2 linked regions of the Callithrix jacchus genome follow. Each later gene encodes a partner of the first gene's protein in a complex. Links are inferred from orthologs where the notes say so. Each region holds a gene or a part of one and is shown in the gene's direction. Other genes may lie near its edges.

Region 1 (4,655 bases):
AGAAGACCTCCTTCCAGAAGCTGAATGGCATCTCCAAAGGGGCAGACTCAGAACTGTCCACTATACCTTCTGTCACAAAGACCCAAGCTTCCTCCAGGCTCCAGGATAGCAGTCAGCCAGTTGGAAAAGCCAAAGGGATCAGGGAGCCAAAGGTGACAGGGAAGCTAAAGCAACAATCACCTAAAGTACAGTCCTCCAAGAAAGTTGCCTTCCTCAAGCAGAATGCCCCTCCCAAGGGCACAGACACAGAAACACTGGCTGTGCTATCCCCATCCAAGACCCGGGCCACCCTTAAGCCTAAGGACCGTCATCAGCCCTTTGGAAGGGCCAAGGGGGTTGAGAAGCAGCAGTTGCCAGAGCAGCCTTTCAAGAAAGCTGCCTTCCAGAAACAGAATGGCTCCCCCAAGGGGCCTCAGTCTCCCACTGTGTCTCTTGTCAGTTCCAGCCGCCCCCCACCAGCAAAGAGGAGGAAATCTCAGTCCAGGGGCAACAGCCAGCTGCTCCTGTCTTAGATGGTTGAAAACTAGACTGGGGTGGCTCACTGCCTTTGTCACCGGTTTGGAACTCTTGCCTCTGTGAGGAAGCCTTTTGCACTGTGTATGCCCATGAAATTTAATACACATTTTACAACCTCTGGCCACTGAGTATTTTTTGGGGGAACTGAATACTGCCTTTGCTGCTTTAAGGGTAGAGATGGGAAGGTGGGACTGGGGTTTTGAGGAGAGGGAATGGTTGGGTGCTACTGAGAAGTCAGGTCAGTTTTAGGCTCCTGCATCCTTGGGTCTTCCCAGGAAAGGAGAGCCCTGGAGTCAGAGTTAGGGGAGTTTGGACTGTGGGAAGAAGGCAACAAGTGTAGGGGAAGGCCCGGCACGGTGGCTCACGCCTGCAATCCTAGCACTTTGGGAGATCAAGGTGGGTGGATCACTTGAGATCAGAGTTCAAGACGAGCCTGGCCAACATGGTGAAACCCAAAATGCAAAAAATTAGCCAGGCGTGGTGGCGGGTGCCTGTAATCCCAGCTACTCGAGAGGCTGAGGCATGAGAATTGCTCGAATTCAGGAGGTAGAGATTGCAGTGAGCCAAGATCACGCCACTGCACTCCAGCCTGGGCGACAGAGTGAGACTCGGTCTCAAAAAACAAGAAATGTAGGGGAGATGGGCTTGTCACCAGAACCCATGGGGTCCTGGGCTTTACGCCACCCCGGCTGGATTCCCGGCGGTGGCTCTCCTCAGCCCCGGGCTCGGCCTCAGACCCGGAAAGGTCCAGGGTCCGGCCTCCAATTGGAGCCTGTCATTGGCTTCCCCCTCGGCCCGCCTCCTGACCTCTGCCCCGCCGCCGAGCCGCCTGATTGGTCGGCCCTGTACCGCCGGCGCCGCATTGGCTCTTCTCGCTCGCCCTCCATCCCTGCTCCTGCACCGGTCTGCATCTCCCAGCAGAAGGCGCAGCCATGAATCCGTTATTCGGCCCCAATCTCTTCCTCCTACAGCAGGAGCAGCAGGGCCTGGCCGGGCCGCTGGGGGACCCACTGGGAGGTGACCACTTCGCCGGGGGAGGAGACTTGCCCCCGGCGCCTCTGTCGCCTGCCGGCCCTGCTGCCTACTCGCCACCCGGGCCGGGCCCGGCCCCGCCTGCCGCCATGGCCCTCCGCAATGACCTGGGCTCCAACATCAACGTGCTCAAGACCCTGAACCTCCGGTTCCGCTGCTTCCTGGCCAAGGTGCACGAGCTGGAGCGTCGGAACCGGCTGCTGGAGAAGCAGTTGCAGCAAGCGCTGGAGGAGGGTAAGCAGGGCCGGCGGGGCCTGGGTCGCCGCGACCAGGCCGTGCAGACCGGCTTCGTCAGCCCCATCCGGCCCCTGGGGCTGCCGCTGGGCGCCCGGCCGGCCGCCGTCTGCAGTCCGTCGGCGCGGGTGCTGGGCTCGCCCGCGCGCTCGCCGGCCGGCCCCCTCGCCCCCTCCGCGGCCAGCCTCTCGTCGTCCTCTACCTCCACCTCCACCGCCTATTCCTCATCGGCCCGCTTCATGCCCGGCACCATCTGGTCCTTCTCGCACGCCCGCCGGCTCGGGCCGGGACTGGAGCCCACTCTGGTGCAAGGACCTGGCTTGTCGTGGGTGCACCCGGATGGGGTGGGCGTCCAGATCGACACCATCACCCCCGAGATCCGCGCGCTCTACAACGTGCTGGCCAAAGTGAAGCGGGAGCGGGACGAGTACAAGCGGAGGTAGGGACTGGGAAGTGGGGACAGGGACCTGTGTCGTGCCACTCACAACCAGCTGGGAGTCGGTGTGGGTTCCTAAGAATGTGGGGTGAAAAGAATGAGAGTAAAGTTTGTGCTGTATAATGAGGAGCCTGGAACGAATTGGATTCCGGGGACTAGAATCCTTAGAGAATGCAGAAGCCCCACTCGAGACAGGAATAAAGACATTGGGAGCAGAACACTGGGCGATTCCTACTTTTCCGGCTTGTTCTGTGCCATCCAGGCTTAACTGCGGGCTTTGTGATGTGTGAAAGGTACTGAGTCTGAGCCCTACCAGTCTCAGCCCTGGAGCAGTTTAGTGATATAAGCTTCAAAAGTAGGAGGCAAGGATATAGTGTACATTGGGGAGACTAAATTGAGTGAAAATGGAAGGGGGTAATGACGAAGGGGCTGCACCCTGCAGTGAGTGATTCTTTCACAGCCCAGGGTTTCTTAAAGAATATTGATGGAAACCAGGTACCTGCTCTGGTTTCATAGGAAAAACCCCGGGACCTCAAGCCATTGCTTGAATAGGTCAACAAAGTGGGAAAAGAAAGAGTAAAGGAATTCCCTAGGGTAAGGGTGGAAAGCAGAGCTGATGGGGAATCTCTGGCAGTATAAAGCCCCAGCTGTGGAGGGAGAGTGGAGAGCCAGCAAGGAACTGAGCAGAAAGAAGCTGGGATACAGACACTCCCTAGGACTTCGAGGTGGTGGGGCGGGCCCAGTGCAGTCTGTGGATGAAGATTTGGCTGAGAAAAGCTGGGCCCCAAGGGGCGAGGGGAAGGGATGTGATGCCAGGAGTGCTGGCTCTATACCAAGAGGATTCCTTAGGTGGTTGATAACCAGGCTGAAAGGACAGGAGTGAGAGCAGAGGTAGTGTCTTGCAGACTCCGACCCATGGCATGGTTGAGGAGGAAGGTGGTGACAGTCAGAGGAGACTTTGGTTTGGGGGCCTCCGGTCTCATCTCAGCTCTTAGGACCCCTTGTGGGCAGGCCTGGAAAGTATCTATGCAGCCCAGTGTAGCAGGGGTTCAGCACTGGGTGAGGATTGGCCGAATGTTCTAGGAAATGACTGCTGGGTTGCTGGGGAGACCTTCAGGGATCTTACCCTGCTGGAGTCTGCCAGATCACAGATTAGCAGGCTTTCCGAGTCCGAGTCTTGTCCTCATGCTTCCTGAGTTGCGTCTTGGGCGTTTCAGTTGCCCTGAAATCATTACTCAGGTGCCACCCAGAACCAGCCTGCCGTGCCCCTGCAGGAGTTAACTGCCACACTCAGCAGTGGAACAGGCACAGTTCTGGAATGTATCCATAACCACAGGAACAACTGCTGTTCTCAGGAACTTTTTTTTTTTAACTGAAGGAGTGTTTGTCCTTGATCCAGCTGTCCAGGGCAGGAAAGAGTTATTCCTTGGAGACCGATTAGCTCATCACTCTGCAGCACACTGCTGTGTAAAGGGCTGTAGCTAGGCTCGGATGGTACGTGACACTGGCAGTGACTCTTCTTCCACCCCAGATCCCCTGCCCTCATTCTGGTCTCTTTATAGCAACACTGTAACTCCTGTCTTCCGCCTGGAAGGCCTGGGATGGCTTGAGCACTAAACTGGGAGGTAGCTAAAGGCTTCCTGGGTTCTATTTTCAGCTCCCCTGCCTTGTGTGTGACCTTTTTTTGAGCCCCCATTTTTCCAACATAGGAATGGTCCCTGATTTCTCTCTTCAACTCAGGGATACAGTTTTTTGGAATAGAGGTGTTTGGTCCATGCAGAATGCATGGAAATCGCTCAAGGTCTGCCCATATTAAGGGAACCTTGTAAGTGAGACCAGATGGAAGTGGAGGTCAAAATGAACCTGTTTGTGTGAAGTCTGGCTGGAGAGCAAATAGAATTGTAGTGGGCTCCCAGATGATCCATTTTCAGATTTTTTACCCTGTAAGATTTCATTAAGCTTAACCTTTAGCTACTGTCTTACTTAAGCTTCTTCCGGGCTTCGCTGAGCTCACCGTCAGGCAGCCCCTCATGCCCTCCTTCACGCATCTTGTTCAGGGTTAGCATGCCCTTGACAGGCTTACTGTCTTCCTCCAGGGACTTGTGGGCTCCAGGGCATGAGGGCACCACAGTTCATGCCTTCATATTGTAGATGAAGAAACCAAGACCCAGAAAAGATAAGGGTCTTAGCTAAGAAAACATATAACCTGATGTGACCAGGCCCCTTACTGGCCTGACTGCGTGCATGAGAATGCCAGGGGGAAGGGGAGAAGCACATATGAGACCCACAGGGAAGGGGCTGGGAGCCAGGCAGGCTGGGAGCCGGGCTTTGTGGGGAGCCAACAGAGTGGTGGCTGGGCTGGCTGCCTCCTCCTGCTCTGGCCAGCAGGGAGGGGCAGCCGAGGTGATGTGGAGGAGTTATTATTAGGAGTACTGCA
Region 2 (4,633 bases), on another chromosome or scaffold:
CACAGGAATAAAAAAACCCATCTGGAAGTTGTTTCTGTTTTCTACCTATATCTGATACGTGTGTGTGTGTGTGTGTGTATAAGGAACAAATCACTAAGACTTATTTTATCCTCAGTTATGTTGTGTTTCTATCAGCAGGAAGGTTTCTGGCACTAAGTTTGAGTTCTGTCTTTACAATCCACTAGGTGTGTGATCCGAGGCAAGTCAGTCTCTTCATGTTTCACTGTTTTCACTTGTAAACATCTACTTAGAAGCTGTTGTGAACTTATTTCCATGCTTATAAACTGATTTTTTGAACAGAGCCTGGAACATAGGACATGCTAATAAGAGAAAGCATTTGCTACTTTTGGAAAAAGCATGACAAGATAGTTTACATACTTCTGATCTTAAGCACAGTATATGCATCTTACTTTTAGCTAGTCTATGTGACAGGGAGATGATAAAAAGTTATATTTGACTTGCACTACAAGTAAAATAATTCAACTTCATGTTCTAGAAAGATGTAAAAGAATTAAGAGTGACAGTCTTCCTAGTCTCAACTGCTATTTTCTCCATCAGGTGGTAAACTCGTCCAGAGAAGACTGATTTACTGCTATATGGGATTCTGCAGCAACTTCTGTGAACATAGGCTCATCATTTTTCACATGGAGACTCAAGCTTTTTGGAGTCACAGTTGTTTTTGAGTCTACTCGCAGGCATGCATCTTTTGCCCAGAAATATACACAACATTTGGCACATGGACTTGGAGGTAAAACAGGAGGAAGGCCTGAGGCTAGACATCACTCCAGTAAGTAATATTAAGCTCTTAGAAAAGCTATCCACCTTTGCAGAGAAGTCTTAAACCTATAGCTTGTATAGTAGCATCTTCAAAGTTGAGAAAGATGTGGGAGGGGCCCTGAGAGGTTACTGACTGAACAGATGAAAATGAAGATACGGAGATGGGTGCCAAAGGAACTTCCCCCTAAAAATCAAACAGTAACATCAGAGTCAAGCACCTAGGGCGATATAAGGAGATGCAAGAAAACAAGCGGAAACTCGAGAAGCTCTAATGCCTCTAAGGATCGATGACCACGGAAAATCTACGTAGCCAACAAGTTAAGACACACCAAGGCATTTTTTTTCTAAACAAAGTAGGAAAGCGGCCTTTGCTTGAGGGGCCAGCTCCGCGACCAAGGGGTCTTCCTTGGACAGTCCATCCAGATTCTCTCCGGTTCGTCGGGCAGTGACCGCGTGGCTTCACAGCCTCTCAGCCCCGGGCCCACACACCCCGGGCTGCCGCACAACCTCTAGTCCAAGACCAGATCCACAACCCCGTCTTGAAGCTCAACCGCGACCCAGCAGCCCAACTTCTTACCATAGCGAGGCCGGCGGTGCCGCAGCCACATCACCCTTCCGGGCTCCAGGCGGAAGAGGCTTCACGCCCCGTCTGCCCTTCTAGCCCTCTCCAGCCCTCCGGTTGGACTTGTCATGGCACCTCCTCCCAGGCCGCGCGATTAAGACGCTAGGGTAGGCTCATCTCCACCGGAAAAGGCGGGATCTAGAACACGCCCCGCAGGCCGGCGGAAGTAGATGATACTCTCATTGGTTGCAAGACATTGATCTGAGAAAGCGGGCGTTTCGGAAGAGACCGGAAGTGGAGTCTCCGAGAGGTAGGGTCCGGAAGTGCGGCTGCCCCTTAACAAAAATCTGATGTTCCGTTCTTTTTATGTTTTTTCTTTCTTTTAAAAAAATCCCATGCTATTTACTCCTAGAACTCCACAGTGAGAGAATCCCCCTTAATTTGTGAGCACCCGCGCTTTCCTCTTGTGAGCTTTTGGGGATCCTAGGGTTCCCGAAATCCTCAGGGTGCACACCTACCTGTTCACCCCCATTTCAGTTTCTCCATTTACATCTGGGGATTCTTGGGAATGCGAAGCACTTTTGAAATGCCCTGTGTGTGGAATTGGGAGGACAGTTGAATCCAGAGGGTAGTGTTGAGTCGGCAGTTTGACGTTGGCCTGTCCTTTCAATCCCCAGATTTTGATAAACTGTGGGTTCCCTCCACGCATCGGGAGCTGAAACGTACTAAGCTCTTTGGAGTCAGGAAAGAACTTTCTGTGGTAACCAATGGGAAGGGCTGCCCATTAGGGAGTGCAGCAATTGATAAGGTGCTTTAAAGAGATCAACTGGCGAGACAAATGACAAGCCAATGTGTAATCAGTAGTAGTATTTAGCTTTTCCTGATTTTAATTCCATTAGGTGAGGTTCTATTACACACGCATACACACACATTTTTCTTGCTGCATTTTATATATGGAGAAACAGGCGCTTTGATGTGTTTGAGTTTGCATAGTTCTTGTTAGTCTAATAAAGTATTAGTAGTGAGAGTTTTTCACTCTTTGCCCCCTAATGGCAACCTTTTGGTGCTTAACGTGTGGTGTATTTTTTCCCAGGCAGCAGAGGGTTCTTTTCAGAATGTCATCAATTTTTTATTTATTGACTTTGAAGGTGGATAGAGAGAGAGAGAAGGTAACTCATGTGAGATGTTGGTTTATGAGCTGTATATGGCCAATGAGACCCTTCTGTATTAGGGCAATACAATGATTAGAAGATTTGGGATTCTGCTATTTGTGTTTACATTGTTTGCTCAGGCACACAAAGATTATTTATTTATTTATTGAGACAGTCTTGCTCTGTCACCAGCCTGGAGTGCAGTGGCACCATCCTGGCTCACTGCAACCTCCGCCTCCCAGGTTCAAGTGCCTCAGCCTCCTGAGTAGCTGGGACTACAGGCGCACGCCCCCACACCTAGCTAATTTTTGTATTTTTAGTAGAGACAAGGTTTCACCATTTTGGCCAGGATGATCGCAATCTCTTGGCCTCGTGATCCACCCGCCTCAACTTCCCAAAGTGCTGGGATTACAGGCGTAAGCCACTGCGCCCTGTAAGGTTTTGTTTTAAACTGTAACTAACTTGATATTTGAGTATGTTATATTGACTTGTCAAGAGTTAGTCAAATAAACAAATTAGCAAGTATTTACTGGGTGCCTGCTTTATTCCGGGGTCTTGAGATTGCAGCATAGGAACAAAGATGGTCTATTCCTGTAAGGAATTTAATAAGGATGGGGGAGAGGGGAATAAGAAAGGTATAAAAAATACAGTACTCTCTGAGGAAGAAAAAAGTCTTTTAATGTTCTGTCTTGTAGTTCCTTTATATTGTACCTTTTAAGTCTTGCCATTCAAATTAAACAAACCTAGTTTAGTTATGGAAATTATGTTATGCAACTTATTGAGCTTGGCTTTTAGGGTAGTAAATGTGTCTGTAGACATAACTGCTCTTGGTTTCATGTGAAGATTGTCTTGATCTTTGTTACACTAAAGGATAATACTTCTGTACGAAGCTGTGCTTCAGGCTGCCTGTGAAGAGCATCAGAAAGCTTCAAAATAGTAAAGAATGAAGTTGCCAGTTTTTTAGTTATCCACAGAGAAACACATGTGCCAATAATGAGGCTGAACAAATATGTATAATGTTTATTGTATTTATGTAAAACATCGGTTAATCTGATGTGTTGAGATATTTTTGGGAGGTGGTTGTTTAGCTGCATCGTCTTTAAGCACATAAATCACCTACTTTTTAGTTTTCAGATTATATCACAATTTCAAAAGTCTTTCTGGATCTTTGTAATAAATCCTCATTTAAAACTATCTTGGATCCTTTCCTTACTAGAAGTAAAATCTGACTGTGTTATTCCTTTGTTCAAAAATTATTTATTTTTATTTTTATGTTTGAGACAGAGCAGATCTTTCTCTGTGGCCCAGGGTGGAGTGCAGTGGCACAATCATGGCTCACTGCAGCCTCAACCTCCTGGGCAGAAGTGATCTATTCTCCTCCCTCAGTATCCCCAGTAGCTGGTACCATGGCTATATGCTACCACAGTTGACTAATTTTATTTCGTTTTTTGTAGAGACAGGGGCTCACTCTTTTGCCTAAGCTGATCTCAAACTCCTGGGCACAAGTGATCCTCCTGCCTCAGCCTCCCGAAGTGCTGGGATTACAGGTATAAGCCACCATGTCTGGCTGGTTAAAAAAATTATTATCTCTCCTGCATCTGGAAGAATATTACCAACTTTGGTATCATGGGTATTTTAGAATTGTATGTAAAAATAGTGAATATTTATATTTTTCTGTGGAGCCAGTGCACAGGTGTCTTCAGTGTTATGAGGATTACATGATTTATTACAAGTAAATCATCTAGGCAAGTGTTTGGCATACAGTAAGCCCTCAGAAAGTGTTGGCTATTATTGTGCATGGCTTTCTCTTTGCTAAATTAAAAGTCCCTGGAGAGGAGGAATTGTAATGGAGGAATGGTTGAATTGCATATATTAGGCACTAAATACAGTAGTCTCACCTTATCTGAAGTTTTGATTTCTGCTGTTTTAGTTACCAGTGATCAACCACAGTCTGAAAATATTAAGCAGAAAATTCCAACCAGGTGCGGTGGCTCATGCCTGTAATCCTGGCACTCTGGGAGGCTGAGGCGGGTGGATCACTTGAGGTCAGGAGTTCAAGACAAGCCTGGCCAACATGATGAAACCCTGTCTCTACTAAAAATACAAAAATTAGCCAGGCGTGGTGGTGCATGCCTGTAGTCCC

What was found. Proteins that work in one complex are often made in the same cells at the same time.
Region 2: the proteins of IFFO1 (region 1) and XRCC4 are in contact, whole or in part, in a crystal structure (PDB 6ABO), measured with the Homo sapiens proteins. The link is inferred for Callithrix jacchus from reciprocal best matches to the Homo sapiens genes IFFO1 and XRCC4. Residues at the interface, in NP_001317253.1 of Homo sapiens: Arg469, Glu470, Tyr473, Ile477, Gln479, Ile480, Glu481, Glu483, Leu484, Ala487, Lys488, Asp490, Met491, Arg493, His494, Leu495, Tyr498, Met501, Lys505, Leu508, Asp509, Met512, Cys515, Arg516, Leu518, Ile519, Thr520, Gln521; in NP_001304941.1 of Homo sapiens: Trp155, Val158, Gln159, Phe162, Glu163, Cys165, Val166, Lys169, Glu170, Glu173, Leu176, Tyr177, Phe180, Val183, Leu184, Lys187, Lys188, Lys190, Ile191, Leu194, His195, Lys197, Leu198, Ala201, Ala202, Arg205, Glu212.

The regions. Positions count from the first base shown.
Region 1 is NC_133510.1:20,741,858-20,746,512, reverse strand, and holds the start of IFFO1 (non-homologous end joining factor IFFO1), read left to right. Parts: upstream 1-1,435; 5' UTR 1,436-1,448; coding exon 1,449-2,221; intron 2,222-4,655. Other genes in the region: NOP2 (28S rRNA (cytosine(4447)-C(5))-methyltransferase), read left to right, coding at 1-512. UniProt on the Homo sapiens protein: Nuclear matrix protein involved in the immobilization of broken DNA ends and the suppression of chromosome translocation during DNA double-strand breaks (DSBs).
Region 2 is NC_133503.1:127,810,793-127,815,425, reverse strand, and holds the start of XRCC4 (DNA repair protein XRCC4), read left to right. Parts: upstream 1-1,574; 5' UTR 1,575-1,649; intron 1,650-4,633. Other genes in the region: TMEM167A (protein kish-A), read right to left, coding at 1,355-1,357.